Caenorhabditis elegans: one gene and its partners. The protein of the gene in region 4 interacts with the protein of the main gene of each other region in a pairwise test. Each region holds a gene or a part of one and is shown on either strand. Other genes may lie near its edges. The genes, in order: tag-343, lec-1, C09G1.4 and sma-1.

Evidence for each region.
Region 1: the proteins of sma-1 (region 4) and tag-343 interact in a two-hybrid assay, tested with the Caenorhabditis elegans proteins (one large-scale study listed by BioGRID).
Region 2: the proteins of sma-1 (region 4) and lec-1 interact in a two-hybrid assay, tested with the Caenorhabditis elegans proteins (one large-scale study listed by BioGRID).
Region 3: the proteins of sma-1 (region 4) and C09G1.4 interact in a two-hybrid assay, tested with the Caenorhabditis elegans proteins (one large-scale study listed by BioGRID).

Annotation. Positions count from the first base shown.
Region 1 is NC_003284.9:16,670,540-16,678,477, forward strand, and holds the start of tag-343 (RNA polymerase II-associated factor 1 homolog), read right to left. Parts: upstream 4,194-7,938; coding exon 4,112-4,193; intron 4,066-4,111; coding exon 3,926-4,065; intron 3,884-3,925; coding exon 3,774-3,883; intron 2,737-3,773; coding exon 2,604-2,736; intron 2,562-2,603; coding exon 2,402-2,561; intron 2,106-2,401; coding exon 2,023-2,105; intron 1,258-2,022; coding exon 1,148-1,257; intron 1,069-1,147; coding exon 682-1,068; intron 1-681. Other genes in the region: F22H10.3 (Spore coat protein), read right to left, coding at 6,929-7,168.
Region 2 is NC_003280.10:13,193,648-13,201,720, reverse strand, and holds lec-1 (Galectin), read right to left. Parts: upstream 4,776-8,073; 5' UTR 4,613-4,775; coding exon 4,568-4,612; intron 3,688-4,567; coding exon 3,112-3,687; intron 2,480-3,111; coding exon 2,243-2,479; 3' UTR 2,008-2,242; downstream 1-2,007. Other genes in the region: btf-1 (BTAF (TBP-associated factor) homolog), read right to left, coding at 696-890, 944-1,048, 1,422-1,550. UniProt on the Caenorhabditis elegans protein: Binds galactose.
Region 3 is NC_003284.9:15,992,136-16,000,120, forward strand, and holds the start of C09G1.4 (uncharacterized protein), read right to left. Parts: upstream 4,803-7,985; 5' UTR 4,787-4,802; coding exon 4,705-4,786; intron 2,304-4,704; exon of another isoform or gene 2,080-2,303; intron 1,597-2,079; coding exon 1,447-1,596; intron 979-1,446; coding exon 709-978; intron 222-708; coding exon 69-221; intron 1-68.
Region 4 is NC_003283.11:11,895,506-11,903,585, reverse strand, and holds the start of sma-1 (Spectrin beta chain), read right to left. Parts: upstream 4,138-8,080; 5' UTR 4,023-4,137; coding exon 3,956-4,022; intron 3,679-3,955; exon of another isoform or gene 3,507-3,678; intron 2,479-3,506; coding exon 2,216-2,478; intron 1,591-2,215; coding exon 1,411-1,590; intron 802-1,410; coding exon 517-801; intron 472-516; coding exon 88-471; intron 42-87; coding exon 1-41. Other genes in the region: K12G11.6 (BPTI/Kunitz inhibitor domain-containing protein), read right to left, coding at 8,024-8,080.

The DNA of each region.
Region 1 (7,938 bases), on a different chromosome or scaffold from region 4:
GTATGTAAAAATTGGAGAAAAATTTGCAAAAGTTTCAAAACTATCTTTGTTTAGTTTTTCCTCAGATCTGCTACATCTATTTATTTTTTTAAAAACAATTTTTAAAAAGTGTAAAAATTATCTATTTTCAATTACAGCTTCTCAGGTGTGTTTGGCTTTTTTATGCCAAAAATGTTATCTGATTATGACGACCACTGTTTCAATAATTTCAAAATAATTATTGAATAGTTTGAGGGCAGGTAATTATTTTCGAATTCAAAGCGGTTTTTTTTGTAAATTTTTAAATGTATTTTTTCTTGCAGGTTTGTGCATTTTTTACTGTGTTTATATGCAGTGTACTCAAATTAGTATACAGAAAACTATCGTAATTGTTTGTCTACTTTGTGGCTAGCTAGTAAAAAATTTTTAAAAATTGTTTATTTTTTTTAATTTTACTACAATCTTTAATTGTTAGTTAATATTTCTGTTTTGATAATTCTTTATTTTGATTTTTCTCATTTTTCTCTACATGCATTTGAGCTTCAAACCCACGATAGAAGCTTGAAAGCAACAAAATTACTATCTTCTTTTCAATGTTTGAGTGGAAAGTTTAAGTTTTTTCATTCAAAACAAAAAAGTCATTGTTAGTTAATTCTAGTACGGTCTATATGTATACTGATAAAGTTTTTTTTTTTTAAATACCTAGACTGCTTCAATTGTTCGAACATGGCGTTTGTTAGAGCGTTTGTGGTGGTCGAAGTGTCAGTGATTAGAGCAGCAGCAGGCGGTACAGGCGGCGCGAAACTTGGAGGCTTTGGCGGCGAGACGGCCGTCGTTGGACGAAGTTGTTGTTGATGCTGCTTCTCACTGTACAGCGGTATGCCAACAGGCTCACTTGCCGGCGGTCTTGGAGGCGGAGATGCCGGAATAGGTGGCGGACGAATTGTCGGCTTTGGTGGTGGAGGTGGGGGTGTTGGTTTGGCAGGTGGATTGGATAGTGGAAGTGGGGGAGGTGGTAGAGGTGGTGATTCCGTCGGTCGGCCAACTTGTTGTTGCCTCGAGCTTTGCTCCACTTCGATAACTGTGGATCTAATAATAGAGTGAGAATGAGTGTTAGTTTATGAAAGCGGAAATGTAATGGAATGAAAAAAAAAGAACTGCAACCTACTTGCTAGAGGAGTAAACACTGCTTCTTGACGAGTTTTGTCCAGACTCCTGAACTCCATAGATACCATCATCCACAAATGGGAGACCCGAGATTGTGATTGGGGTGGTTTCCTGAAATTTAAAAATTTTCTTAAGTTTAGTAGTTTTTAGACACCAAAATTGCAATACTTCTTGGCTGAAAATGTACCACTATCCACAAAGTAAATATTGTTTGGAAATTGTTAAAAACCACTCCTTTGGTCCCAAAATGACCAAATATCATGATAAAACTTTTCAAACATTTTTTGAAAATTTTTTATGTACTGTCAAAGAGTGGAAATTACTCAGTTTTTGCCATTCATATTTTTGGAAGTCGACCAAAAAAAAATTTTTTTTCGACATTTTTTATGTTTTAATTTTGTTTAAATTTTTTGTATGAAAGCATCGGAGGTGTCGAAACATGCGGAATTGCTTTGGATTTCCTCAAAAGCTCGTATTTTTGAAAATTTTGACAACTTGCCAAAACTTTGACTGAAAATTACGAAAAACCTAAAATTTTTGGAGTGTATTATTATGATATTCGGTTGTTTCGGGTAATTTTAAGTACATTTAGACAAAATCCCCACTGGCGCTATTCCACCTTTAAGTTAAAAAGAGTTGTGAATTTTTTTGCAATGTTTCATCACGATAGGTTTTGGGAGCTATTATGAGTATTTTGAGGCAATACAAAAACGTTTCTATACTCCACTTTTGTTTACAAATTATCAACTACATATCAGTTGAAAGTTTTGAACAATTAGCTGGCTGAGAAATCAAACAATTTCAAGCCTTCAAAAGATACCAGGTCCAAATTGTAAATATCTCCTATTTAGGCAAAAAAGTGCCATTGAAAAGTACCTGTACTTTCTCCATGAAAGAATCGAATTGATTTACAGACATTTTCCAATATCTCCTCCGATGTTCGTCATTCAGCCGATCTTCTGAAATTATTAGAACGTTTTCTTTGCAATTCCCACACTGGTAGGTACAGGAAAAAACAAATATCGCCGGATTGGCAGTTTATTTTTCTAGCGATTCGCCAGCCCGAAAATGTTTGATTTAAATGGTCGTCACGTTTTACGAGAAAAGAGGGCGAAAAATGGAGAGAGATGGAAAGTGATAATTCTTATCGAGAGCACTCAATGCCAAAAACTATTCGGTCTGTTTACAACTTTTAACACGGCGCGAGAAAGCTATGCAAACGCTGAATCAATACAAAAATTTCAATCACACTCACCCATTTGTTTTTGAAATGTACAAGACGTGTTGATAGTGAACTTGGGACACTCTGATAAACCGAATCTTCGTAAAAGAGGCTCGAAAGTTCTGGAGCCGTCGGACGCTGTGATGAACACAACAATACTGTTGCGTACATGTTCTGGAAGATTGGAGAGAACCTGGAAATGTGAAAGTAGGATCTGAAGTCAAGTTCTAGATACCTGTTGCAGTTCGTCTTCTTCGTGCATGCTCATTCTGTGCAACTGTGAGAACACAATTGCAATAACGTCCAGTCTCATCTTCCAATTGTTAAGAAGCCATTTATGTATTAAAGATGGCGAATCGAAACCATCACTGAAATTTAATTATTATTGTATTTTTTTAATCCAAGTTGTATATTTTTTGTACTGTAAAAATTACTGTCTTAAGAGTTTTCTGCATTTTTCGTAAAGTTAGTGGTTAAAAAATTTTGAAATACATTGCAATAAACAATTGAAATACATTATGTATTTTTTTTAATTTAGTAGATTAACCAAAGTAGACAGATATTATCATCATAAAAGCTCCTAACAGAGGAGGATTTTACAAGTTCTGGCTAAATTTGTAAAAAGAAACACCCGTCGTACGGCTATTTAAACTACTAGGATCATTTATCTGGAAGGAATAAAATGATTATCACGTATTTAAAAAAAAACAAAATAGTATAAGATTTTCAATAAAGTGTTAAAAAACACACAAAAAAATGGCTGAGAAAATGCAAAACGTAAGCTATGCTCCTATTATGAAATCTTCAACAATTAAAATTTTTGCAATTTTAGAATTTTGAACAGAAGAGTTGCCGATAATTTAAATCATATAATTTCGAAATAATGAATTCAAAACCTATAGAAATCTAAAAGTAAGGTCCCTAGAAACCCCAAAAACTATTGAACACCTTATAAAACAAGAAGAGTTCTTTTTAGTCCTGTTTACATTTACTTTGATTTACGACCAGATAACAAGTCGAGATTTTACGACCTGTTGTTGGCCTAATGGTAGAAGACAGTGGTTAAATGACATGGACCTCTCCATCGCCACAGCAAAATTGTACATTTGATTATGACTGCTATGAGGGACTTAGAGGGACGGTCCTTTTGTTCCCAATAAGAGCCTACATTCAATAGTACATTAAATACATAACTGGGTTTGAACATTTGACACTGCTCTAAGTTTCAAGAAAATGGTAAAGTTTTGGCCAATTTAGTTTTAATTTAATTTTAATTTGTACCAGAAACCCAAAGTCGGTAGATATCCTATTTCTTGTTTTAACATTAATTCTAAGAATAATTTATTATGCTCATTGGAATTTGCAACTTTTATGATTTTTTCCCAATTTTGAAAAAAAAACCTACTATGTATCTCCACACGCGATCATATCCAGAATTACAGGACGAACCGACATTTTTGTTTCGTTAAAAATATAGCACTGTACAGGTTTTGTAGGAGTTTCCGAGTTGAATTTCTGCAATTCAATACTTACTTTTTCATATTACAATTGTAATACTTCATTGGAAATGTGAAATCTCCTTTGATCCATTGAATCCACTCCATAAAAATAATTACACAAAAAATCGATAAGTTCTGACTTTTGAGAACTTGTTGGTCCTAACAATAAGACTACCCGGTTTTCGCGTTCTTCGTTGTCTGAAAAAAAAAACAGTAAAATTCTCAAGATAATTAAGACTCCAACCTTCCTTCGCCGAGACAAATACAGTCCTAACATCCTTCTGTTCGAGAGCTTCACCCACAAATTTCGAGTCTGGGGAGATCATGTCCTCGAGCAGAGGAGTATCGGAAAGTGCTCTACAAGTTTTGATCAGTTATTTGAGTTGGGATGTGTTGCGGCGTACAAAATGTATAATATGCAAAATGTTTGTTTTGGTCATCGCAGTTTAGTTAAACTTTCATGAAGTGTAAGGTTTCGATTTGAACTGCAATAGTTTTTGAATAGGGCAAAAAGAAATTGTAGGGTTTAAAATACTATTAACCAGAACACAAAATTTAACCCTTGAAATAAGCAGTTTTTTACCCTGCACTTATTAATTTAACAAGAGAGCATTCGGATAACTTATATATTGTCAACAACACTACAAAAAACATTCGAGAAAAGATGAAAACAAATTGTTTTAAAAAAACTTTTTTGAAACATCGGAGAAAAATATAATTTCTACGTTTGAATTTTGAGAAAATTTTAAAAAATCGCCAAAAAATAATATTTGCCATAATACTAAATCTGGCTGAGATCTTAAAATTATTTTCAGAAAGTACTAAAAATCTGCAACAAATCTGCTGAAAAATTGAGAAAAAGGATTGTCGCCGTCAAACGACCTTACTTGAAGTTTTGAAAAATCTATTTTTCTCCTAATAATTATATTTCCTTTTCTAACGCAAATTCTGGGATACCTAATTAAATTGTGATGATATTCTCTAAAGAACTGAAAACCTGCACTAAAACTATTATAAAAGAAACATTTTTAATTATGCAGAGATAATATGGTGATGCAAGTTATTATTTTATAAATTGAGTCGTCAGTTAAAAAGGGGATGAACTAATCTCAACGTCAGTTAGAAAGAACATATTTTAAAGTTTCAAAAAAAAACTAATGTAGAAAAAATCGAACATTTCATTTTGCACAAACACGTTGAGTCACAAATGTGGGGTTGCCGAGCTGTGAAAGTGCACACGCAAAGAAACAAAAACTGTTCTTATCATCAAAACCAATGATAATTATTTTATTCCTATTCTACCGCTTATGTTTTTAAGTATAACGGTACTAGATCAGAATCAAAGACCTGTTGCGAAACTGTATGTTAGGGCACTTAAAACATCTTCAGCTAGCACTAAAATTCCAGGAAATTTTCGATTTAACCATGTTTGTATTGTATTCCTCACTGCGAATTCCACCACACTGATAACTCATTCCTGTCAACACACGTACACACATACCTGATCATTTTATAGCCGAATACTTTCCGTTAGGTTGGCTGTAAATCAGCGTTGAGAAGTCATAAATCGGTTATGGTCTTGACGTAAAAGTGAGAAAAATGATACATGATGATGGGTGATAATAGTGATAATAGAGGAGAAGAGAACATATCATATTTGGTAGTAGGATTGAAACCTGTTTTTTTTGTTCGATAACCTCCAGCAGCTACACGATTCATATAATTATTACGCCATTGCAGTGTATAAGGTGTACATGTATGGGTGTCCTTGTCACCACTTTTTGATCGAACGCTTCCCAAATTGAATGGTGAAACGGTACAGTGAAAGCAATAAAGTGTGAAGTACAGCTTGTTAAGAATGTTCTGCAAGACTTGTTTAATAATTATAGTTACAAACTCAAAAACTTTTGAAAAAATATTATGGTGGACACTCAGCCAAATAACTGAAAAATTGACTACTAGCTCGAAAACGATAATAAATTAAAAAAAAAACTATTGTATGTAGGATATAGAAAATTTTTCACGGAGGTTATCTTTTTCACAGTTATGAATAAACTTATTGTTTAGACACTCACACCAGTGAGCATATTTGCATTTTAGTTAAATGCGAGGGGGCAGATAGCTCAGTCGGTAGTGGTGGCCGCTAGCAGTCTGGAGGTCACGAGTTCAAGTCCGGCCTCACCCCCTAGGTTTACCCAGCCTCTATTGGGAAGTGGAGCAATCCACGACAGGATTATCGGCCACAGTCCCCGGCTAGGACGTGGCTTAAATTACAGCCCAGAGGGATCACCACCAGGCAGTGTACCTGAATCCCAGATCCGCAGTGCATAGCACTTGAAGAACGGATCGTCCTTTAATTTTTTTTTTTAATTACCTCGCGAAACTTACAATTTCCTATTTTCGTTTTTACCTTTCTGCTGGGTTTTGACATTTTCACGACAGGGTTTTTGAGAAAAATCAAGGGAAATGAGAAACGAGGGTAGTAAATCGTGATCCACGCGCAAATTACATAAATACTAAATAAAAAACTCTCAAAAATAGTTTATGAACTCGCGGCAACATTTTTTGCATAGTTGTGCCACTTAGTAGAAACACTGAAATTTATGTGCTATATCATTTAAATATTATTTAACGACGTTACTATCATTGTACACGTTTCTCTCTCTAAGTAAGTAAGTAAGTATCTAAGTATCTTAGAATGTTGGGTTGTGTCAACCGTATAGAAGAACTGAAGTATTTCTATGCCATGTGAAATATTTGAGCCCTAATTGCCTTCTCTGTGGAATTCACGTTTTGATGGTATTTGTTCATGAATTATTTTGAATTTTTGTCATCCGAATGCCACAGTTATGTGTCAGACAGCATACTCGTAGTTTTAAATTTTACTAGTCAAGTAGAACCATGCATCATTATGGTGGATAACTATCGTTTTTCTGAATTAGTGCAATTTATAAATTGGAAACAATTAAAACAATATCAAAACAATTTATTTAATACATCAGGGCAAAATATCACATTTAAAAAAACGTCCAAAAACCCCCAACCAAACTCCAGGCAAAATTTAGCAATGATGATGATGGTGGAATGGATTCCAGTGATGATGATGATGATATGGTTCCTCAATAACAACAACTGGTGGTGGCATTCCATACATTGGTGCAGCCATCATTGGTGCAACTGGAACTGGCATTGGAGCAACCATTGGAATTGGAGCAATTGGTGGAGCATATCCCATTGGTGGTGGGACATATCCGACTGGTGGTGGGTATGGGTACGAACCGTTGTAGGGGTTATAGGCCATGGCGAAGAAAGTCGAACTGAAAGTTGAGAAATGTCAAGAAAGTCAGAAAAGCGGCACGAAGAGGGTTAAGTAAACTGATAGGCAAGGTATTAAAAATGAAAATGGAGAAATAAAAACGAGGCAAATGTCATGAGGCCAGTCAAGGTACTGATGGGAATAGGCTGATAGGTCGAGGTATTTTATATCGTTTTAGTATCAGCGGGAAGGAGAAACGCGTCACTTGATATGCAAATAGTGTGACACTTTTCCCGAATAAGTTTCTCCTATTCATCGATTTCGAAAATGAAGGTTCAATGAGTCATTGGAAGAATTGGAAGAATGACATATTTAGAAATAAAAAAAGCAATAAAAATAAACAAATTCTAAAAAAGAAGATCTAATTAAAGAAATAAAAGTTGCCATATTGGAAGAAGTGACGTTAGTATTTGGCTCCCGTCAATATTGACTCAAAAACATCAGGAGCGAAAGCTATGTCGAAATAGAATTGAGGAACAATTGTTTTATTTCTGTCAATTTTTCGTGCTTATGGGAATCACTCAAATACAAATCAATCTAGACGATTCCGGAATCAAAAGTCAAAAGCTTATCAGTAAGCGTACACAAAGCAATCAGTGGTCTTCAAACTTTTGGTAAATAGAGTTCGAGCCAAAGTAAATCAATTCATAGTACGTGCATAAAACACGGATGAAAAATTTGTAAGGAGATATATATATATGGACACTTTGAACTTTGGTTCAAAGTTTGGAAAAAAGTTTAACGCAGTGTTTTTG
Region 2 (8,073 bases), on a different chromosome or scaffold from region 4:
AGAAGTTTTCAAATCCGGCAATTTGCCGTTTTGCCGGAAATTTCAATTTTTAATTTCAATTCGGGCAAATTGCCGATTTCCCGGAAATTTTTCGATTTTCCACGAATTGCCGGTTTGTCGATTTGCCAAAAGTTTTCAAATCCGGCATATTGCCGGAATTTGAAATTTCCGGCAAATCGGCATATTGCCGGAATTTGAAATTTCCGGCAAATCGGCATATTGCCGGAATTTGAAATTTCCGGCAAATGACCGATTTGCCAGTATTCAATTTCGGTAGTTTGCCGTTTTGCCGGGAATTTCCAGTTTTAATATTTTCAATTTCAAAGCAATTTCAATTTTAATTTCGGCAAGTTACCGGTTTATCGATTTGCCGGAAAATTTCAGTTTCGGCATTTCGCCGATTTGCCAGAATTTTTCAATTCCGGCAATTCGGCAATTTTTCTTCGATTTTTTCTAAAAAATTGAAAAAAATGACTTTCTGGGTTCCAAATTCGAATTTTCATGGGTTAGAAACCGAAAACTCAGAAAACCCCAAATTTTTGCAAGAAAAACGTACTAAAATTTTAGCTAAAATCCAAATTTTCTCAAAAAACTTTGTGAAAAATTGAAAAAAAAATTGACTTTTAAGCAAATCTGGGCGCCAGATTCGTTTTTTTTTGGTTTTTTCCCCAGAAAACTGCCGGAAAAATCGATACCGAGCTTATTCCGGTGGCCCGATTGTATTCAAGGTGTTGATCTACAATTTCCCGCTGTTTCTGATTATTTCCTCGATCTTTTTCCGACTTTTTCAGTGCCGACTCATCATCACTTAACAGTGGCTTGAACGATCGTAAAACGTTCATCACAACGATGCTTCTGACATTTTCCGATACCGATGAGTCTTCTTCATTCTGAAAAATCGATTTTTTTAAAGAATTTCATAACTCAAAAAGCTCAGAAAAACCTTCAATCGTTCGAATTCTGGAGCATTCTGAAGTGTCGCCTGCAACGCTTTTCCAGCAGATACTCGTGTCTCCCAGAGTTGAGATGCCGCGTGTTTTTTGAGACTCTGAAATTAAGATTATTTATATATTTAAAGTATTTAAAAAAGATAAACCCCTGAAAAAAGTGAAAAAATCACTGAAAATGAGTGAAAAATCACCGGAAAAAAGCGAGCTTATATGTTTTTTTCACTCGAAATATCGAAAATTAATTATAAAATTCAGTATTTCTGGGGCATTTTGAGTATTTTAAACGAAGACTAACGGTTTTTGAGTCTAAACCGTTAGTACACCTTCAAAATACTCAAAATAACCCAAAAATACTGAATTTTATAATTAATATTCGGCATTTCGAGGGAAAAAAATATATAAACTCGCTTTTCACCCGTGATTTTTTACTTTTTCTTGTGATTTAAAAAAAATATATATTAATTAACCAACATTTTTCACGTCTTCACTTAAAATTGACAATTTCCCGAACGCAGCGGCCGCTTCATTTCGAACATTCGGATTTTTCGCTTCGAGTAGAGGGTCAAGCTGAAGAAGACGAGCCGACGTGTCGGCGCTCATCGGAAACTGAAAATTTTCAATTTTTCCGGCTTATTTGAGAGAAAAAACAGCGAAAAATGCATTTAAATCCAAAAATCCAAAAAAAAATGGGAGACACCACGCATTCCAGGGAACAAAAATCCTGAGGAAAACTTTAGAAACCCGAGTTTATAGCAGGATTATTCAGGATTATTCAAGATTTCGAGCTTCACATTATACATTATAATAATTATTGATTTAACAATAAGAAGAAAACTAAATTTTGTAGGCAAACCTGATGGGAAACACGCGCGGTTTTCACGATTCGACTTCCGTGCAATTTGTAGTGACTCGAGGAAAACGCGCTCTCCTGGACAAAAACGGCGGTACTTTCAAATATAGTTTTTTCGAGTTTTCGCTTACTTTTCGCGTTTTTTTCGCAGAACTTTTCATGATGATCCGCTTTCAAAATATGAAACCTGAAATGACAACGAGAAAATCTGCTATCCAATTTTATTAAAATACAATGTGGGGGGTGAGAAAAGATACAAAAAGAAAAACGCGGGATTACAGTTCAGTTGCCGGTGCGAAATAATAGAGAAATGATTCTTTTTGGGGGGGGGGGGGGGGGAGAGGGGCAGTAGACTTTTGGAAGATTGATCAGTGAGAGAGAGAGAAATGGGAGAGCTGGATAACAGAAGAAAGAGGGGGAACAGGGGATATCAATACATAATTTATTGGATTTGAATTCCAGACAGCTCAATGTCTCCAGAGATCTGAAGCCCGGCAATGTCGTGTGGATCGGCGCGGTGAGCGAACGAGATGTAGCGTTCTCCGTTGACGAACACCTGGAACGCGTACTCCTCGTTTTGGATGACCAAGTCGAAGCCGACTCCCTTCTCGAATGGGTTCTTTCCCTCGCGCTCCTCATTTCCCCATTCGTTGGCGGCAAGAGAGTTGCGGATGACGTGCTGGAAGAAAGGAAATAAAGAATTTGGTCAAATTTCTATTGAAATCGATTTTTTTTTGTCCTTTCACCAATTTTACCAATAGAAATAGACACATGCAAAACTTTTGTGTCTCATAAAATTGTTTGTTGAAGAGCGCCATATTTGCCCAAATGTAGCAAACAAAATGCGGGTCTTTTTGTGTATGTGTGTGTGAGGCACCACAGAAAGGAGAACAGGTGAACAAGGAGAACACAGAAACCACACCCATTTTTCCGTGCCGCAAGTTTTCCGCAAATTTTGAGGCACCACGTTTTCAGGATCTGGGGCACCGTGCCAACTGCGGTTTTTGCAGTTTTCTCTCGCTGAAAAACGAAACAACGATACTCCGATATGACGCGTCGCGTGTTGTTTAGCGTTCAGAATAATGTTTTTTTGAAATAAAAACTTTTGGAAAACGCTAAACAACACGCATAACATCGGAGCATCGTTGTTTCGTTTTTCATCGAGAGAAAACTGCAAAAACCGCAGTTGGTACGGTTCCAGATCCTGAAAATGTGGTGCCTCTCGCGGCACGGAAAAATGGACGTGGTTCCTGTTCTCCTTTGTCGTGGTTCTCCTTTCTGTGGTGCCTCGTGGCATATATCAACCCTTACCTTCTCATCGAAACGTGGGTTGAAGTGGAACGAGATGTCTCCATTCTTGCGGAGAAGGTTGACGTGGAAGCGCTTGGCCTTCTTCTCAACGGTTCCAAAGACGAGGAGGCTCTTTCCGACTGGAAGTCCGTTGGCGAGTCCGCTCTCGTATGGTACTGGGTAGTACTTTCCTCCCCAGTGAACGTGGTTCAAGTAGAGATCTCCGTCAATCGAGAGGTGAGAGATTGAGGAGAGTGGCAGACGGTGCTCGTAGTCCTTGAACTCCTTGTGGTCGACGATGATCTGGAAGCGATCGTCGTGAGCACGGATGCGAATGTCGAACGAGTCTCCCTTCTTGATTGGGTTCGACTTGCGCTCTTCCTTTCCCCATTCTCCATTCGAGAACGAGTTGAGCACAATTTTGCCCTCATCGAAGCGGACAGAGACGTGGAGTGGCACATCGTTTCCGGAGAAATCCGCGGTCTTCGAGTGAAGGTTGATGGTGAAGCGTTGCGACTCGTCGATCGTCGATCCCTTGACGATGAGCGTCTGTCCGGGCTCGAACTTCTCCTGGAGCACTGAGCGGTATGGTACTGGCTGAAAAATTTAAAAATTTTAATTTTTTAAAAAATTAATTGGATTATTACGGGAACACATTTTTCTGATAATGCGTACTGCACAACATATTTGACGCGCAAAATATCTCGTAGCGAAAACTACAGTAACTCCTTAAATGCCTACTGTAGCGCTTGTGAAATGCCGTAAATCGACACACAAGCGCTACAGTAGTCATGTAATGAACAATGAACTACTGTAGTTTTCGCTACGAGATATTTTGCGCGTCAAATATGTCGCGCGATACGCATTCTCAGAATTTTGTGTTTCGGTAATAGATTTATAAGTAGAGTTTTCTAGAACCATTTCTTCTTCCATATGCCATTTTAAAATGTTCAGTAGGGTAATCATGTAGAAATATATGCTGGGGGGGGGGGGGGACCTCGCGTGTCACACACTGGTGAACAGAATAAGCGAGCAAGAAGCGAGACCCGAAAAAGCGGAAGAGCTGTTATCCAATCTGCATCCACCAATCTTCGCGCTCCCCAGACTTTCATACAGCTGACGACGACAAAAAATGCCTTTTCTACATTGTCTAGTTGCTTTCTATTTTTTAGCTCCATTTTGCTCCATTTTGCACAAAATTTTGTTGTGATGTGCCGCCGAGCAAACACACCAGAAATATGGCGGGAATCTCGAATGTTGATAATGGAACCGAAGGTGTGGGCGAGCAGATAACGAGAGGAATGTGTCACTTTAGTGGCAACCAACAAACTTGGAATGCTCTCCATTTTCGAGCTGGTGTCAGAATGTCCCATGTCAGTTTGATCTCCGAAAAGTTGCAGGAGAAAAAATTCCCGCTTTTTTTTGTAGATCAAACATGGGACAGCCTGACACCCCCATGTATAGAGGCATGCTTTACCTTGTTCTGCTCGTACCAGCGAAGGAATTGAGGAGTGGAAGACATTAGTGTAAAGAGTTGAGCTGAGGAAAACTGAAAGCGATCGTTCAGGACGCGAGTCAAACGAAGAACTGACGACCGGTAAACAGTTTCAACAAAAGCTGAGAGTGTGAGAGGAGAGAGAAACCAGACAGTTGAACAGTCATAACATTCGCAAGCGCCGCCCAATATTGAGTCAGAGAGAGCATGGAATTATGGGAGGGTGACAGCATGTGCGCGAGGCGACATTGAAATGTTTCTTTTTGTGCATCTGTCTGTGTCTCCGACTTCTCGTACAGTCTCTCGCATACGACTTCTCGCCATGATTCATCGTGTCGTTGTAGGCGAAGAAAACAGTGAAATTGAAAAAAGGAACGGAACTTTCTGGAGAGGAAGAGATCGATAATGAGTGTTGGTACAGTTTTCAGCTCGAAATTTTTTTTGTATGATTTGTTGAAACTCAAACAACAAAAGTTTTCGGAGCAAAATCCATGCTCAATATTTGCGTCTTCGCATTACTGTTTACCGCATTTCGAGTCTGGGCGTCACGTGCAAACTTCAACTTCAAAGGCTCGAAATGCACTTCAAAAACCAGGGGGTGGGCGGCAAACGATTTTTTTCCGGCAAATCGGCAAATTGCCGGAATTGAAATTTCCGGCAAATCGGAAAATTGCCGGAATTGAAATTTGCGGAAAATCGGAAAATTGCCGGAATTGAAATTTCCGGCAAACCGGCAATTGCCGCCCACCCCTGCTTCAAACGTTGAAAAGGTGTTGCACAACTAGGGCCAAGGCGAGAAAAAATGTGGCATTGATCTTAGGCAGGTTCTCATGGTGTACTAGTGTTTTGTCCAAATTGCCAAATTGCCAAACTGCCATTTGTTGTTCTATATTCGAGAAAAAGGAGGTTACTACTCGTCGGAAGATTTTCAAGAAGGCACAAGACATCGAAGAGAAAGGACATTCATGATGAGACACGGCTTAACATAGAAGACTGCAGAAGCAATTTGAAATTCGAGTGGTAAGCATCTTAAAGATCAACTGGAAATTGTTTCAAGCTGGAAAAAAGAGATTAAAAATGCCTTTTGAGCTTTTGATGGAAACATTTTGGTCTCACTTTAGCTGAAGACGTTTCTAAATTCGAAGCTTTTCAACCTGATTCTGTAGAATTGCTGCAAACTGGACGTTATGCAAAAATCGTTTCTTTAAAATTGTTCACTTAACGATCAATCATCAGTGTCAAGAACTACAATTTCGAAATCAACTATCAACAAATATATTTTTTGCGGCGTCTGATCTTCCTTCTGATTCAACACGTAGTAGTAGTAGTCCAAACATCGGTGGTGAACTATAGAGGTGACACTTACAGAAACGGGCAAATTCTCCAAAAGTTTCTGTCCTTTCTTTTTCATTATTTCTTACGCTTGACTGGGGCCGCCGCCGCACTTTCATCACCCCCGTACTGATACGGTTTTTTTTCTATTCTTTTCTTTTTTGTTGTTGTTACAACACCGTTAGAAACGAAACTCACGTAGGACTTTGGCTCTTCGGCGGACATTTTTTGCTGGTGGTGGCTTTTCGGTGGTTCCTGAAATTAAAATTGAATTTTAAAAACATGATTATTTAGAAGAAGAAGATGAAAAAGCGAGAAAATTTCCGACGACGACGACGACAATGGCAATAAAAGTGTGGTCTCTGGGCGCAATAGAGAGAGAGAGAGAGAAGGGCAGGAGAGACGCAGCATTTCGTAAATAAAGTCCGAGAGACAACAGACGTGTAAACAAGAGACAAAAGAGCACAGAACGTGTGTGAGAGATGCAGGAAAATTTTGTGTGTGTGTGTGAGAAATGACGCTCTCTCTCTCTCTGAAGAAGAAGAAGAAGAAGAAACCATGGTGATAAAATTGTGAGAAAATATGGGAGGGGAGAAGAGATTTGTTTATGATGAGGTGGTGACACATTTATGATTGAATTTGAATACATATTCTTTCTAGGCTTTTATGAGGTACTGTATATAGGCGGTTTATGTCAATATTTGAGCAAGAATTTCAAAATTTTTCTTAAAGGTTCTAAAGTTAATTAGAATTTAAAAAAGTTCAATTTAAAAATTTGTGAGTGGGCGACAAACGAGTTTTTTCCGGCAAATCGGCAAATTGTCGGAATTTGAAAGTTCCGGCAAATCGGCCAGCCGGCAAATCGCAGAATTTGCCGGAATACCAAAAATGAAAATTTCCGGCAAATCGGCAAAGTGCCGGAATGACAATTTCCGGCCAATCGGCAAATCGGCAAATTGCCAAAATGAAAATTTCTGGCAAATTGGGAATTTGCCGGAATTGACAATCTCCGACCAATCGGCACATCGGCAATTTGCCAAAATGAAAATGTCCGCCAAATCGCCAAATTTGCCGGAAAACCAAAAAAGAAAATTTCCGGCAAAACGGGAAACCGGCAATTTGTCGGAATTGTCAATTTTCGGCAAATCGGCAATTTGCCGGAACTGAAAATTTCAGGTAAATCGCCGAATTCGCCGGAAAACTAAAAATGAAAATTTCCGGCAAATTGTCGGAATTGACGATTCCGGCAAATTGTCGGAATTGGCGATTCCGGCAAATCGGCAAATCGCCGAAATTGAAAATTTCCGGCAAATTGGCAATTTACCAAAATGAACATTTCCGGCAAACCAGCAAATTGCCGAAATAGGCAATTTTCGCCAAATCGGCAAATTGTGGGAATTGACAATTTCCGGCAAATCGGCAAATTCCCGGAATTGAAAATTTCGGGCAAACCGGCAATTTGCCGAATTTGTCGACAAAAAATGGAAATTGCCGCCCACATATGATTAAGTCGCATTGAATATGCAAGAAAAATTCTGCGCCAAGGACAAGTTGGCAGCATTTCAGATTATAAGAACATTTGGGGTATTTTTCCAAAATGTAAACTTTTTTTGAAAAAAAATTCTGTCTTTTTTTTTGGCAAAAATGGCTTTTTTTTTTGGTTTTTCAAGTGGCTTTTGTGAAGAACACAAACCTCGAAAAACGCAACAAATTTGAAACTTTCGTCTTTTTTTTTGTTTGAAACTCAATACGAAGCGCCTAATCGAAAGAGAAAAATAATCCAATGAGTTTAGTTTCTCGAGAGAGCCCAAGTGTTCATTTTTTCCTTCTCAAGTGCAGATGTTTGCTATGTCACAGTGTCTCATAAATAGAGAAACACTATCGAAAAAGCGCGACACATGTGGTATCCATCTGGTTGAAATCGGGAATACTTTGAAATGTTGCCTTGGCCTCAGCCACACGACACACCCAAATTTCGATTCATTTGGCTTCGCTCGCTCGTGTGTATTGTGAAACCAAAAGTTGGAAAACGTTTCAAACATCAAAAATGGATGCGAATAAGCGTGTGTGTGTGTGTGCGCGCACGAGTATCAAGTGAAATGTGGCGGGAAATCCCGCGTCCTCCACCTCATGTCACACAATTATACTTTTTCATC
Region 3 (7,985 bases), on a different chromosome or scaffold from region 4:
AATATAATACAAGCTAGTTACTAGAATATGTTTCCAATAACAGAAAAAAAAAGTTTCACAAAACTCACGTAGTGTCCCCGTCCGTGACGAGCAAGCAACTGGAGGTGTCCGGCTCACTGGAGGGTACTCAATTTTGTTCATTTTGTACTGTGCATCACTCGAATTTTGCATATAACTTGCTGGCTGTTGGAATGTGGATGTAATTTGTGGAGCTCCAACAGCTGAAATGAAAAAGGGTTTTTAAAGAAAAAAAACTTGTGTTGAGCTAGAAAATCGAAAAAAAAACATCTTTAAAAACTAAATTTAAACATTCTAATTTTAGGGTAAAATTGAGGATATTTTAAAGGATTTTTTTCAGGTTTTTGTTTGGATTCTAGCATACTTATAAATATTAGTTTTTATAGGGCCTAAATCTGGGGTCTAAAACTAACAACCTAAGCTAAATAGCCCACTCTTGTTCTTGTATAGAGAACTGACTTAATACTTTACAATTACAAAAAATAAATATAAATATAGTAAACATAAAATATAATTTACTACTCCAGAAAAATATATAATAAATTCAATACAGAAGCATAGTGTATACCCGAAAAAAGTAAAGACACACATATCAATCATAAATTAGTTACAACTTGAGCAGTGTTTTTTCGAGCAAAAAAAAAGTTTACTTAAAAAGTTTAATTTATAGAATTTGCAACCCGTGCTCACCTGAATTCATCAGCATCTCCTGTGGATCGTTTCTCGGCGAAATGTGTGTGGAGGAGGTTCCGCTTGACGTCGACGCGCCGCTGTCCACCTCATCGGCGAATCTGACTCGGTATTTGGCCTTCGTGGCCGTTGCAGGTGCTTGCTGTTGGGGTTGCAGTGGTAGCCGTCGGGGTGTGGTGCTGTAGCTGGCAATCTTGCGCGCCGAGTTTGGCGTGAGGTAGTCGGCCGATGAGTGACTACGGTAGTTCTGATATGCTCCAGGGGGGAGATCTGAAAAATGTGGAAGGTGACTACGAAGATGTAAGGATTTGATAACAAAACAGTACCGCAGTTCAAAAATTTTTTATTGACAATTTCATCCACTAAAAACTATGCAAATATTGCGCATGTATCGTGTTAAAAATCGACATGGGCCGTCCAAATTTTTAGCAACACTTCTGAGTTTTTTTTGTAAATAATTGAACCGTTTATAGAAACTCTTGCCCTCTCACGGGAAGTTAAGGCTGTCCCAATACAGTTTGATCTACAAAAAATGCGGGATTTTTTCCCTAAAAATTTGTATGTGTCAAAATGTGTCAGCACGCTCTTGGGCCATGCCAAATCAGATGAGATGTCTGCGTCTCACCTTCCGCATTTTCTGTAGATCAAAGCGAAATGAGACTTTCTGACTCCACTAGCAATGTAACTTTAATCTTCCTTTTTGCCTCAACATTAGAAATACCAATACCATTATCTCACCTGGTATCCTCCTCTGGGAGTTCACTTGCTGTCCGTTGACAGTACCGTTAAACCCTGTTCCACCAAACCCTGCAGCTGCTCTCGGTGAACCTTGATCACAATCTGCACTTATGCCACTGTCCGTGTCGCTGTCTTGTGGGGTGAGATACCCTGCAAATGAAAAAAAATATGAAAGTGCAATAACCTCTGCTATTTCATTTACTTTACTTTTACTTCTCCACCTCCTCTCTCTTTTCTATTTCTCACGGCCTTAAACCAAAAAAAAAGGGTCTGTTTGGGGGGAAACGCGATATGTCCGCATTATAAATGAGATAAAATGAAAATGAAAAAAATGGAAGTAGGAGCTGGAGCGGTAGTAACCGCCGACAAAAAAATGAAAATGTATAGGCGAAAAGAAACTGCAAAAAGTAGCAGCAGGAGAGGAAGAAGAAGTGGAACGTGACGTTTTTTGGTGGCGGCAGCAACAAGGGGATCAGGAGAGGAAGAACAATGAGTTTAAAGCATGTTTGGACAGAATTATTGATGACATCTACCGAAGAGTAGAGAGCAGGGGAGAAGAAAGAGGACGGCAAAACGAGAGTGCAACACCCCATCCCTCACTAAAAAAAAGTTTTGGCACATTTTTCTTTCGTTTTTTTTTTTTCGTCCACTCCCTCGTGCCTGTTAAGGGTTGAAGTGGTTCGGTTCGACCACACGGAGAAGTGAGGCATGCTCTCGAGGAGCACTGGGAATGCCTATATCTTTGAAAGTCTGAAGTCTGAAGAAAAACTGAAGCTCTTTGAAGCCGATCTGAAAATCTTTTGCATCATTTTCAAATGGTGTCAGGCTGTCCTAATACAGTTTGATCTACAAAATCGGCGGGAATTTTTTTTTCAGAAAAATGTGACGTCAGCACACATGGTTAGCCATACGAAATCAGGGGAAAAGTTCTCCCGCATTTTTTGAAGATCAAACCAACATGGGACACTTTGACCCCACGTGGTTTTTTTTATCAAACAAATCAGTGAAAAAATTGTTTTGCATTTCTAAAATGGTTGACTGTAAGTATATTTTTAAAGCAATTTTAAAGACATCGGAAGTAGAAAAAAAGTGCTGAACATTTCAGATTTACTTTTTTCAGCTCAATATGCTTCAGTTGAGCTTCATACTTTTTCAGTATACTGTTCAAAAATTATATTTCAAATCAAAAAGGTTCCAATCAAAATTCCAAGATCAAGCTCAAGTAAACACTGGTAGCGCTACGATTCTTTGCCCTCTTCAGCAACCAATGATTATTTTCAGAATGGGCTCTCCGTTTACACACTCAAAAAAAACGCGCAAATATTCTGCATCATGGGCGCTGTCTGAATGCTCTTCCTCAAAATGCAATAAGCAGGAATGGGTTGCGGGCAAAACGCAGAACGCACTTTTGTTGGGGTTTGTTGGACCAAGATCAGCACATGGTGCCGAGCTAGAAGTGTAAAAGTTCTGAATGTGTAGTACTGGGCTCTTCGGGAGCAAAAATGAAAAAGGCACACACACATACACAGACATAGTCTCGCTTGAAAAGGTCCACGAACACAGAGACTTGGCATTTGAGATGGGTTACAAAAAAAAACGCTGACCGCGCGCCGCGTCACTTGCTCACTTTCCGTTTTTCTTATTTTGAAAAGCTTGTCGTTTTGGTGTGTATGGCATGTTACACTGAAACTGAGAAAACTTGACGCTTTGTGGTGAGCGACAAAAAAGGGAGAATTACTTTGCAATTGAAAGCCAGAGATCAAATATCTGTTAGATTCGCTTCAAAATTTTGGAATACAAACGCACAATTTAGCAGTTAAATTCAATTGCTCCAAAAAAAATTTTTTCTACACTAACGTTTTCAACACTAACTAAGAATTACTCAAGACTTACCTAACGTTTTACCTAATTTGAAAACATTTATTTCACAGAGACGATTGAAAAGTTTTAAATAGCGGAAATGCGCTCCTAAAATTTTAATAGAGTTTGTTTTGTTTCAATGACTTTCAGATCTAAATTTTCCGAAATTAGTTCTTGCAGACTATTAATGGCCACTGGAGTTTTGGGGAATAGGCAAAAACGGGTATTATTTAAACATGGAGTAGACACTCATTATGATCTAAAAAGACCAAATATCTTAATAATACAATTCAAAAAATTTCAGGCTTTTCATAATTTCCGGTTAAACTTTGGCAAATTTTCAGAATTTTGAAAAATAAGAGCTTTTGAAGAAATCCAAAGCAATTTCACATGTTCCGGGCCCTACAATGTTTTAATCCAAATAATTACTGTATAAAAAATGTAGAAACATTTTTTTGGTCGACTTCCAAAATTATGATTGGCAAAAACTGAGTAATTGTCACTTTTTGACAATAAATAAGTTTCATTATGATATGTGGTCATTTTGGGACCAAAGGAGTGGTTTTTAACAACTTTCCCACTGGCGCTACTCCACTTTTAAAGAAAAATAGCGAAAAAATTTTGCAATTTTTTAAAACATTCCGTTAAAAAATACCAAACATTTTACCGAAAAAAATATAATGTTCATAATTTTTTAATATGTTACTTTGAAAATTCTGCAAAGACCGATTTCGGAGCATATTCACAATTCTAAACAAAAATAAAAAAAAAAAAACTCCAGAAGTAGTTACGTGTTTAAAATATCTTTCATATTATGAATATCTGTATCCATAAACTGTGGCTGAACTGAACTCATAGAAACATGTAAAAAACATAATTGTGCAAAAATGGCTACACCACTGCATTCGAAAAAGTACGTTTTTGAAAAATTCATAATTTGCCTCTTTTAGCTCGGAAATAATTCATGATGAACGAATACTAAATGACTAGAGCAAAAAACAGGAAAAAAATTGTTCAAACGGTTAAAAGAAATTATGTATTACATAGTAAATGTTCCAAAAAAAACGTGAATAAATATTTGTAACCTGTTTTTTAAGCAACAAGCGCCAAAAACATTTTCCAGTCGATGCACCATGTTCGAAATCTAGTATTCCACATTTATTTTAGGCATATGGTAGGTAATAACTTTGCTCTTACAAAAAATATTAGAAACAAATCACAGAAAAAAAACATTTTTTGCGAAAAAGACACGTATTCAAAAAAAGGTACGTCTATTGAAAATTCATAATTTTTCCCTTTTCTATTTGTAGATGACGAGCGAATACTGAATGACTGGTGCAAAAAAGAAGAAATTAATTTTGAATTTGGAAAAAAAAGTGAGAAATAATTATGACGTACCTCCTTGTTGATAAAACTGGCCACGCCCCAAATTTCGAGGTTTTGGTGGGGGCATTGGAGCCTGCCGATTTCCAGAAGACATTGTGATTTGTGTCTCTGAAAATTGTAAGTTTATAAGAGAACAATTTGAAAAAAAAGATAACATATCAGAGGTAAAGAAACAAATGATAACATCAAAGACCTGATGGGATATAATCGGCCTAGTTAAGGTATGTTCTCAATTTTTGGGGGCTGCGGAAAAGTAGGGGAAAAAAAGAAGGCGAAAAAAAAGCGAGATGGACGTAAAGATGTGAAAAGTGACACTGTTAATTGGATATATATGTAAAGTGGACACAATCGTGACTGGCACTGGTGCACGTACTGACGTCTTGGAAGTTTTAGGTGTGTTTTGATCAAGAGTAATTAAATATATAAGGGGGCAAATAGCTCAGTCGGTAGTGGTGGCCGCTAGCAATCTGGAGGTCACGAGTTCAAGTCCGGCCTCACTTCCTAGGTTCACCCAGCCCCTATTGGGAAGTGGAGCAATCCAAGACTGGATTATCGGCCACAGTCCCCGGCTCGGACGTGGCTTAAATTACAACCCAGTGGGATCACCACCAGGCAGTGTACCTGAGTCCCAGATCCGCAGTGCATAGCACTTGGAGAACGGATCGTCCTTTGACCCTTTAATCTTTAAATAGTGAAAAATAGCTACCCTCGTATTGTTAGAAATATCGGATTTTACTATGATGAGTAAGGAAACTGATTGAAAGAGCATCGGAAAAAAAGATTAAGAGCACGCTTTCAAAAATACAGCTTTCTTCCAAAATAACCAAACAATGCACCTAAAACTTTCTATTAAAAAAAAACAAAAAACAACTTGTGTCCCCATTGACAATTCAATGTTTGAACACCAACTTCGGCATTCGAACTTGAAGCAAAAAAAAAACAGTTTTTCTTCACTACTATCTCTAGAATGCACACCATTCGTGGGCACACCGACCTAATAGAACTGTCCCCAGGGACGGATTGATCACGAAAAGGAAAAGGTCATACAACACACAATGCAGTCGTTCAGAACAATGTGATAACAAGAAAAAAAATAGAAGAGTGGGTGTACAGAAGAAAAGCAAGGAATGTTCTGGAAAAGTGAAAAAAAACGAACTTGAATACAGTGTAAACATTACATAGAACTAGGATTTTTTGGCGAAAACATAGAAATGGCGAGATTGTTCAGAAGAGACCCCAAAAGCTTTTGATGATAACTATTAGGACCTCCATGGAAGCGGCCGACACTTTTCGGGTTCCGCGCAGCACTAAGCAGGAGGCGCGGCTCGCGGCACGAGGCAGACGTCGCCTGCATGAAAGCCCTAATATTTATGTTTAATAAAACCACTGGTATTGCAAACTTTTTCGTGATTGTCATTGGGTTTTAATTTTAAATTGAGGGTAATGACTATAAAGAGGACTATGAAAAATTTAACTTCAAAATTCTAAACTTCAAAAACTACCGCAATACCAAAAATGTGACTCACTTATGATCAGTATCTGAACCGCCAAACCCATTTGCATTATTGCTTGGTAATCTAACACCCGAATGGCGGTAGACACACACACACGTCAAAAGTTAGGGTTCCATCCCGTCCCCCTCTCGTTAAACACATGTTTAATCTCGCCAGATGGTTGTGATGCCTTAGTGAATGATGTACTTACTCTTAAGCGACGAACTTCTCTTTTTGTGCGAGCCGAAGCAGCAGGATGTACGTGATGTATCAGGAAACACATAAATCTATCGCGAAAAAATGGGGAGAAAAAGAAAGAAGAAGAATACTGAAAATAGCGAACAAAACTAAAGATTGATAATTTATGCAACGGGTAATAGATAATGGGTAAAAAAATACTTTTCAATTTGTCGGAAAACTTGTAATAAATGCGTTCCGATTAACAGAACTAATAGTAAGATGTTAAATTATTTCGCCACAAAAAAAATCTGATAGGACCATCTATGCACGTCATACCATTTTATTTTTCAAATAGTATTTCAAAAGCCGAGAAAAAAATAGGGGCTCACTATAGTTATCGTATCATAAAGCTTGATTTCTTCGAAAAAGACCGGAAACCTGCTAGTCCCCTCTGATTGTTAGTGACGCGTTTCATGATGCACTCCCTCTTCTCCGAGACTTTTCTCTTTTCAAATGTTTGTACTGATTTGAATTGAATTGCCATTCCATATCAGGAATAGCTGAGAGGGAGTTTGGGTGTGGTGGGCTCGGTAAGTTTTGAACTGGCTGGATTGTTTTATTGAACTAGGAACTATTAGCCATTTGAAAACAGTCAACGATTTTTCTATAAAAAAGTATAACATTTGTTCAAGTATATCTTTTTAGTTTGCTGTACTCATTGAATTTAGTAAAAAACAGAAGAAAAGCATCAGAACATTTTCAGAGAAACTGAAATAAAGTTTATATATAAGTAGGGTATATGGATTCTAAATTGGCATGTGATCAGCAAGATCTAAAAAATTTAAATTGAAAATTCCAAATCCTCCAAAAAATTTCTACAGTTTAAAATTACCTTAAAACACCAAACTATGAACTATTCTAAAATTAACTCCGTCATTTCTTTCTGTAAAGGAAAGTTAAAAGTGGAGTAGCGCCAGTGGGGAAAGTATTAAAAACTACTCATATGGTGCCCGGAAGATTGAATGTCATAATAAAACGTTTCAAAAATTTTTTTGAAAATTTTTCATTTACTGTCAAAAAGTGGCAATTACTCAGTGTTTGCCACTGATAATTTTGGAAATCGACCAAAAAAAATTAGTTTTTTCTGCATTTTTGATACTGTAATTTTGTTTTAATTATTTGTATTAAAACATTGTAGGGGTCGGATCATGCGACAATGCTTTGGATTTCCTCAAAAGTTCATATTTTTCCAAATTTTGGCAAATGAAATCATATCAACCAGTTTTCTCATCTCAAAATTAAAAAGTAAACTTTACATGCTGGGCATCCCCAGACGCTGAAAAATGTACCACCTATTTCGTTTGCTATTCAATATTTCTTAGGTTTTACGTTTTCAAGTAGGAATAGATGCATATTTAATGGGCCCAGGAAATTAATATATTCAGTGATCTTTGGCAGAGCCGGTTCTAAGTTTGCACTGAAAGAACATGTCTACCGAGATGACAATAGTTGAGAATTTAGGTACAGAATCGATAATATTTATGTTGATTTGCAATATTTAAAGGTGGAGTAGCGCCAGTGGGTAAATTGTTAAAAACCACTCCTATGTTGCCAAAATGA
Region 4 (8,080 bases):
TCATCTTCCATGGTTTCCGAAACCATAAGTTTTCCGACAATCTGAAAACAATTTGTTAATTTTTTTCATGAACTTATAAACACTTACATTAGCAATACGTCGAGCTCCTGTCATCTCAGTCTTTTGCTTTGCAAAATGATGATAGTACAAGGAAACATATGTAATGATTGACTTCTCGTCAGGCCTGGTAACGTCAACATCTTCAGCATCAAGAAGACGTGCAATCTCAAGCTTCTTTTCAGCCACATCAAACGCATGATTCAGATTATCCACATGCTCGTTTGGATTGAGACGATTGAAATCGACAAGATCCGGACGGTGCGAATGGATAAGTGCATTGAAAGCCAATCCATTGCGCCAACTTGTAGTGAAGTTTTCGATGCGAACATTTGGATATCCAGCTGTTTTTCTCTGACACCACAACAGCAAGGCATCTTTGGCATGTTTTCGCTCTCCACGCTCCTCCTCATCCTGAAAAATTTAAACTAAAACAAACAATGGCTTCTCTAAACTCACTTCAATGACAATAGTGTCAATCTGGAATCGGAGGATAATCGTCCAGATGAGACCCAAAATAAGTCGCTCGTTTCTGTCAAGAATGTCTTCGGCTCCAATATTTTCCAATTGGATTTTCTTTTTCTTCAAGAAGTCAAGAACTTTGTTCAAATTTTCCACTTTCTGCACACGCATTCGGCCACGATTCGGTTTTCCGAGTTTGTCTCCGGAAATGATTTCAAGAAGTTTCATGAGCATAATACCATCGCCGACATCTTCGAAAAGGTCAACAATCTCCAAACTTGCCTGAAAAATTGTTGTGCTTATATGGTTTTAATTCCTAAACTTATATTAATACCAAGTCACAGTTTTGGAAGTTAAAATTTATATTCTTATTTTTTCAAATATTTATAATTACCCTTGTGATTAACTATGATAAGATTTCAAATACCAATCTTCAAATTATATTTTTTCAACCCCAAACTTTGCAAAATGTTGCCATTTTGCTAAGATTGAAAATTACAACTCTAAAAAAACATTTATAATTTCTAATTACGTTAATATATTCTTTTAGACTATATCAAGTGTATTTTGACAAATTCCGCACTGGTTCTACCCCATATGCAACGAATGAATTCAGTTGATTTCATTGGTTTTCATCCGAACATTCCTTTCGTTCTTGCATGCAAACTGATCTCCAGATAAAGATAAGGGAATTTGCAAGGTCATCTTGGTCCGCATTACTTTCCCGTTGCATTATCCTCTTCTCTTTCCGTAAACAATTCTTCCGACTAATTGAACCTTTCTCCCTCACCTATTCCCTCTAATTCTACCCGTCTCTCTTATTCACTCTCGTGTTAACGATGACCGCCGTTATAGAATCAAATACTCCAATCAGTTGTTATCACAACTTACCCGATTAAGAAAGGAGTTGCACCATTTTGTGAACGTCTTCTTCTGAATGTGCACACGTTCGTCCTGCAGTGTCCGAATGCGTGATCTTTCAAAGTACAGTGTCTCATTATTGAACTCGTCTTGATCTGTTCCATTGGCATCTGCGCGAACTGGTGGTGCACCACTTGTTGGAACACGAACCTGAAAAAATCATTATGAACTTGATGCTAATTGAACTGTTAAATATTTCTAAACGTTCTCAGTTTTTTTTCGGATCTTTAAAACTTTCCAGAATAATATTACGGAACCAAAATTGTTACATATAAGGAAAAACAAATATTTACTAGCTCAGCGTCTTTCCGTTTTGACAGCATAGCCTTCCTAACCGGGAGAGACGCTTGCCGACCTTAATGATAAACAGAAATAACATAGAGTGTATGAGAGCACGTCAGCTGACTACTTTAAGAAAATGAATGATCTCCAAATGTTCATGAGTCATGAACAATTTATAAAACAAAAAAACAGCAACTACCTGTTCTTCAGGTAATGTTCTAACACTTGGGGTTGGAGATGAAGCTGTTGATTTCATAGATATTGAATAAATTAACTTTTTCGGCATGACTTTTAGAGCAAATATAAACAACTACTACAATCTGACAAAAATATTAGATGTGTTGGCTTGACTATTGGCAAAATTGGGATTTATGTTTCAAACGCGTAATCGGATTATCTTAAAATCCAATCATAATAGGTTTAAACATTCATTTTCGATCTACAGGTTGATGCTACTTTAAAAAGCCTGTCTAGTTCATAAATATAAACTTGCCTGCATTTCGTATTTTCTCATTTTGTCTTCAACGTTGTCTTCAGATACACCGTCGTTCACTCCTTCGCCGTAATACTCGTGCTTCTGATGTTGGTGATAGTCGCGGTACTGGTAGGGTTTTACTTCCCCACTCGATAATCCAGTACTGCTCGTCGCCTGATAGTCGTTCTCCGGTAAAGGATCTCTAGGTGTTCTTCGCAAGTGATCGAAGTCAACGTTTTCGCGACTTGGGGCAATCTCCTTGCGATACCCTTCTACCTTGTCTGAAAAATATACATTTTAGTTGATAAATTTGAAAGTTTCTTGAGTAGTTAAGTGACTAATAGATAGAGAAAAAAGAAAGACAAGTTATATATACATTTCTGAAGAGAATAATGATCAAAATGATATGCAACAGAGACGCCCACGTGGCACAAAAAAGACAAAGATTATTAATATTTGGAATCACATCGTTTTTCAGAGAAAAAGTTTGAACCTAACTTACAATTAAAACGGGAAATTGTATCCAGCAACAAAATACTTTCAAGAAAAGTGAAAGATTTTTGAAATAAAGAAATGTTTCGCCGAACATAAACAGTGAAAGAGTGGCACACGTGGTACACGTGGCATTCCTATGTGTGCGACTATTTTCTGTGTGTGTGGGCAAAGTTCACGTAATAATGTTCACGTGAAATATGACTTATTAAGAATTTGTACGTCGGATGTCGTACGACGACGCGACACAAACAAAGTTAGTAATATTTAACTGGAATCAGAAAAGGCTTACAAAAAAGAAAATGGAATAATTGGAAAGCTTTTCGAATGAAATTTTTTCTGAGAAAATGTTGGAACTATTCTGCAATTAAACAAAAAAGAGACGTGTTTAGCAATCGCTATAAATGTCCAGCAAAAAACATTGACAGATTAAATTTCAAGTAAAAAAGCAGAGAAAGTTCGAAACGTCACGAAAATTTTCAAAATTTTAAAAGTAAGGTATATTGTGGAGGTGGGGGCGTTCCCCGTGTTTATTACATCTGATAACAGCGTCTTATCACTGCGAAAAAGAAGAATGAGTCACTGAAATGTGCTCCGCGGGATGGTTGCTGAACTCATTAGTAAAGACGAACCCAGGGGGCAAAAAGTGAGAACAGAAAATGGATTAGACAACGGAGGGAATGCTATTGGAACTTTGTTTATTTTAGTGAAGCAATCTGTCACAGCATAGAGATCCCAATAAGACAGATACATAAATATCTCATACTTGGTAAATTGCAAATCGAAATGACACAGAGGACAATGATTCACTTTAGAATAGCGACAAAAATATGTGGAAAGAGAAAAAGTACTAAATTGTATTGACACTTCAACACTACCACCTATCACTGTGCCCTTTTCCTTCACGGCTCTATGGACGCTCTACTGATGGTATGCAGTGTTGCATATTTACCCTCTCGCCACTTCCATATAGAGAGAACGAAGAAATAAAGAGAGAAAGGAATGCAGCAGACTGTGAGAATGTGCAAGAATGCATATAACACAACAACACCAAAATTAGCAATATTCATACAATTTTTTACTTCGATCTATTATATATTCAAGCGCCAAAATTTAGAAGACTACTTAACACAAATATAAAAATTTAGAAAATTTGTTTGCAGAAACTAATTTGCACCTACTTTGATGTGCCCAAAATCAAATTAATAATTTCAGAATTTTTTTGAAAAACTTATTACAAAGAATTTAAAATGAAAGAGCACATACCATTGAGATTTCGAACTGTTTTGCCTTCTCCAGGCGAGTAGCTTGCCGCGAACGACACATACGACATGATAAAGCTTCACAATATTAGCAAGAATATATTATGTATATAGCAAAGTCGAAAAATAGTAAGTGGTAGTATTTCCTCCGTTATGAACAGTCTTGACAATCCGTGTTCGATTCTTGTCAGATATGGAGAAAAAGGGTCAAGGAAACACGGCGACACTCGGACAGTAGCCGTGGTGGTTCCTCCTCAGTCTTCAGAAGGTAACTTCTTATATAATCTTTATCTCTTCTGTGTTCAATTGCAACGACGTCCGGCGTTCGTTTATCCTTTGCCGAGTCTCTCTATACAATACTATCCGAATATGATGAGAGAGAGAAAGAAGTAACGGAGAAAGTGTCGGAGACGATTAGAAGACATCCATCGATCGGCGCGATGGATAAAAAGTATCGAATATGTGTATTCGCCTGACGGGAAAAGAACGGAAGGAATGTTCAGCGGCGGCAACAATTGAGTGGTGGCCGAAATGGGCGAGAAATCGAGGATTCCGGTGGCGGAAATTGACAAACACAAAAATAGCTGACCGCCACAGTGGGGCACTTGAGTTCAAACATGTCTGTTTCAAGAGCCAGGAAGAACACCGCTTTTTGTTCTTATCCATGAGCAGCCCACTTATTATTATAGTTTTTTATGATTTCTTGTTTATTGTTGACAATATTTGTTGACTTCTAGAAAAAGACATCATACATGTTCTTGTTCAAAGTTTTGGCAAATTGCCAATTTTCGAAAATGTCGGTTTTTGGAAATGTTTAAAACAATGCCTCATTTTTGGACCTATAAAATGCTTAAAACATAATCCAAATATGAGAATATTAAAATGTTTCGGACTACTTCAAAAATTATGAGTGGAGGACATTTAGTTATTTTGGTGTTTGCCTACAAAAAACTTTTTCAAATAAAAGTCTTATTATGATATTCGTATATTATTTTAGGGAGAGTTTCTGATAGTTAATCCCACTGGAGTTACTTTAAACAGGCATGACAGGAATATGCACAGGCAACTTAAGAATACTAAGTATCTCTGAACAAACGAAAAACTTTAATTACTGTAAAACTTCTAGTTATTCAGAAAATTATTTTAGAACAACTTTTCGACAACGCATATGGATCAATTCTTCAAGGAAAAAACACACCCATTTCTAGGAATTCAATCTATTCATTCAACGCGTGTATACGTTTCCATTTGTGTACTTATGATGAGTTGAGTTCGTCTGTCAACACGGATGCGTCAGAGTTGACGCATTTCGTTGAGGTATACTTGACCATAAACGCCGTCATATTGACAATGATATTGGCATGATTTATGGACGGGTAACAGGTCGACAGGTGTTTTGGGAAACAACTTTTGAAAAGAGAATGGAAATGTAGATAAACAGAGCTGTACTCCCGACTCAAACATTTGCCGAAATCTGAAGCTGACAAAATACGACTAAGTTTCTTTCACAATCGTGTAGTTTACAGTAAAAAAAATCTTTAAAAGAGTACTGAATTTTAACCTACAGTCAACAAACTTTTTGTGGCAAAGAGGAACAGAGAACCAAACAATTCCACGACAACCATAAAAACTGCGAGCCAAAAAATCAAGACTTTGAAAGGATGATAAAACAGTGAGAAAACACACATATTTTGGCAGAAGGCAGTGAAATGAAACGGACAAGAAAAACGTAGGTCTCTCCTTTTTCAAAAGAAAAGTTTCTTTCACCACCTAATTCAGTGTATCTAGTTGTCCGATCAGTCGAATGAAAGACGAAATCTCGACAAAACCGACACCGACAGTCGTCCACTACCACCTTACAAGTAGTATTCTTTACTTTTTTGAAAAGTGGAAGTGTGAGAATGTAAATGCGATAAGTTTCGTTTAGTATTAGCGAATAGGAGAAAGAGGCGAAGTGCGCATAACCTTGTGCCGAACACATTGAACAAAAAAGTGCTACAGGGTCGGTATGAATCGTCGCCAGATGTGCTACAAATGTCGGAAACTGAAGGAATGAAGGACCGGAAGAAAAATCGCATAAATTAAAGTAGACACTGTAGGGTTTGTTTCATCGAAAAGGGTTTATGTTGCGCAGCGCAGATTTACATATTTCAGAAATTTAACTGATGAATAAGCGTCGATTATCTCTAAAAACTGTGTCACCATCACTTGGTATATCAGTATATTATAAACAGAACAACTAGTGAAGTATGAATTACTCTAGAAGGAACACTGTCTAGATTATAAAAAGAACACCTATGTTGTCTAAGATACCACGTGCACACATTCCCAAGGACATTGCCCGTTAGATACATAGAATTTCAAATTTACAAGAGGTGGGAAACAAAATTTCAAAAACAAGTTGAGTGATAAAATAAGAATCAATTTTACAGGGGTAGTGAAAAATCCCATGTAAATTTCATTACGAGAAGAAACTAGAAACACTTCGTTCTTCAAATTCTGCATGGAAAGCACAAGTATCGGTTTCTAGATCTAATTAGGTTCATTTTAAAGCTAATATTGCTGTCAAACACGTAAAATATAACTGTGTATTTTAAATCTTATAGATTTAAAACAAATCATTTATAGATCTACAAAAGATATAAGCTTACATGAACAGATTTAAACCGTAACTTACAAAGAATCGGAAGTCGAAGATTGAAAAAAAACCAGAAATTACTATTTATGGTCATCAATTTTATTTTGAAAGTAAAATTATTTATTATAGTAAAACGTGAAACCCATTTAATAAAACCACAAACTATTGAGAAATGTTATTCGAAAAACGCGGCCTTGATAAAAAACGTTCACTTGAGCGTGCCGGTGTTTACGGACTCGACACTGGGCTGTGTTTCAAAAAGGTCTTCTACGCGGGAGAAAAAAGGGTGTTCTCCCTCTCACCTCTCCCGTTTCCCGCTCTCCACCAGCACAGTGACGCAAATTTGCGGACTAGACTACAATGGCAGTCGAATGGACCCTCCTGTAGGTCAAACTACAAACTCTAGATTGACCTCTGAGAATCGTGGGAATACTTGAATTTGGTAATCTGACGTCACATATGGAAATGCATCATAACATTTTTGTGTAGTTGCAATATTAAAACGACGTATTTTCATGGTTTCCAGATGCCAAAAAAAGTAGGGATTCGCTGACCATTCGTGTACTCACCAGATATGAGAAACGTTTACCGTATATCCTCTATTAGTTTTGCACCCCTTTGCTCAACTTTGACAGCTCATATCTCATTTTGTTTTGAACATATAAATAATTAACAAACTACATACTATAGAAAAACATCTAACAAATATTTTATCAGTAGACAACTTTTCTTTAGAACAAACGACTACTGAGATATGAGCTGCCAAAGTTGAGCAAAGGGGTGCAAAACTAATAGAGGATATACGGTATATTCTGGATGCATTGTGATACAAACGTGCACAAAACTGTAGGTAGAGATTTCACGTTTTCTACCACATGGAAGTACCAATTTTTGGAAATTACCCGTTTCCAAATTTTGAGAAACATTTATTAAGTTGCCAGGTGGCAGTTGCCAAATTTTGGCAGGAAGTTGCTCTAAAGTACCGAGTAGTTTCAAACGATATTTTCAAACACAAATTAAATACTTCAAAAGTTTTATTGGTAGGTTTAGATGATTTGTTTGTATTAGAAAAACAAAAATATTGAATAAGCTACACTCGAATCAAATAAAGAAAGTTGGGCACGTGTATGCATTATTTTCACATTTTGGTAGATGTCGGCGGACCATTCACAATAATCACTTCCATAGAAAAACAATCTCCAAAATTTTCGCATACACGTGCAACACTTTCTCTTTGATTCGGTGTTGATTGTGTATGAATGATTGATTCGATTGAGAAATAGAATGACCCGAAAAATATAAATCACATTTGCAAACAAGAGACGTTTAGAAAAAAAATATAGAGTTCACAAAAATTCGTGAAAATCAAGCCAAAGGGAGGAGAGGGGCGCGAAGAGCAACACATAAAAATGAACTCTCCGGGACGCCACGAATCTATGAATTAGCGGCTTTTATGATCGGTCTGCAGCAATGGGCCAGCCATCTGCCTTC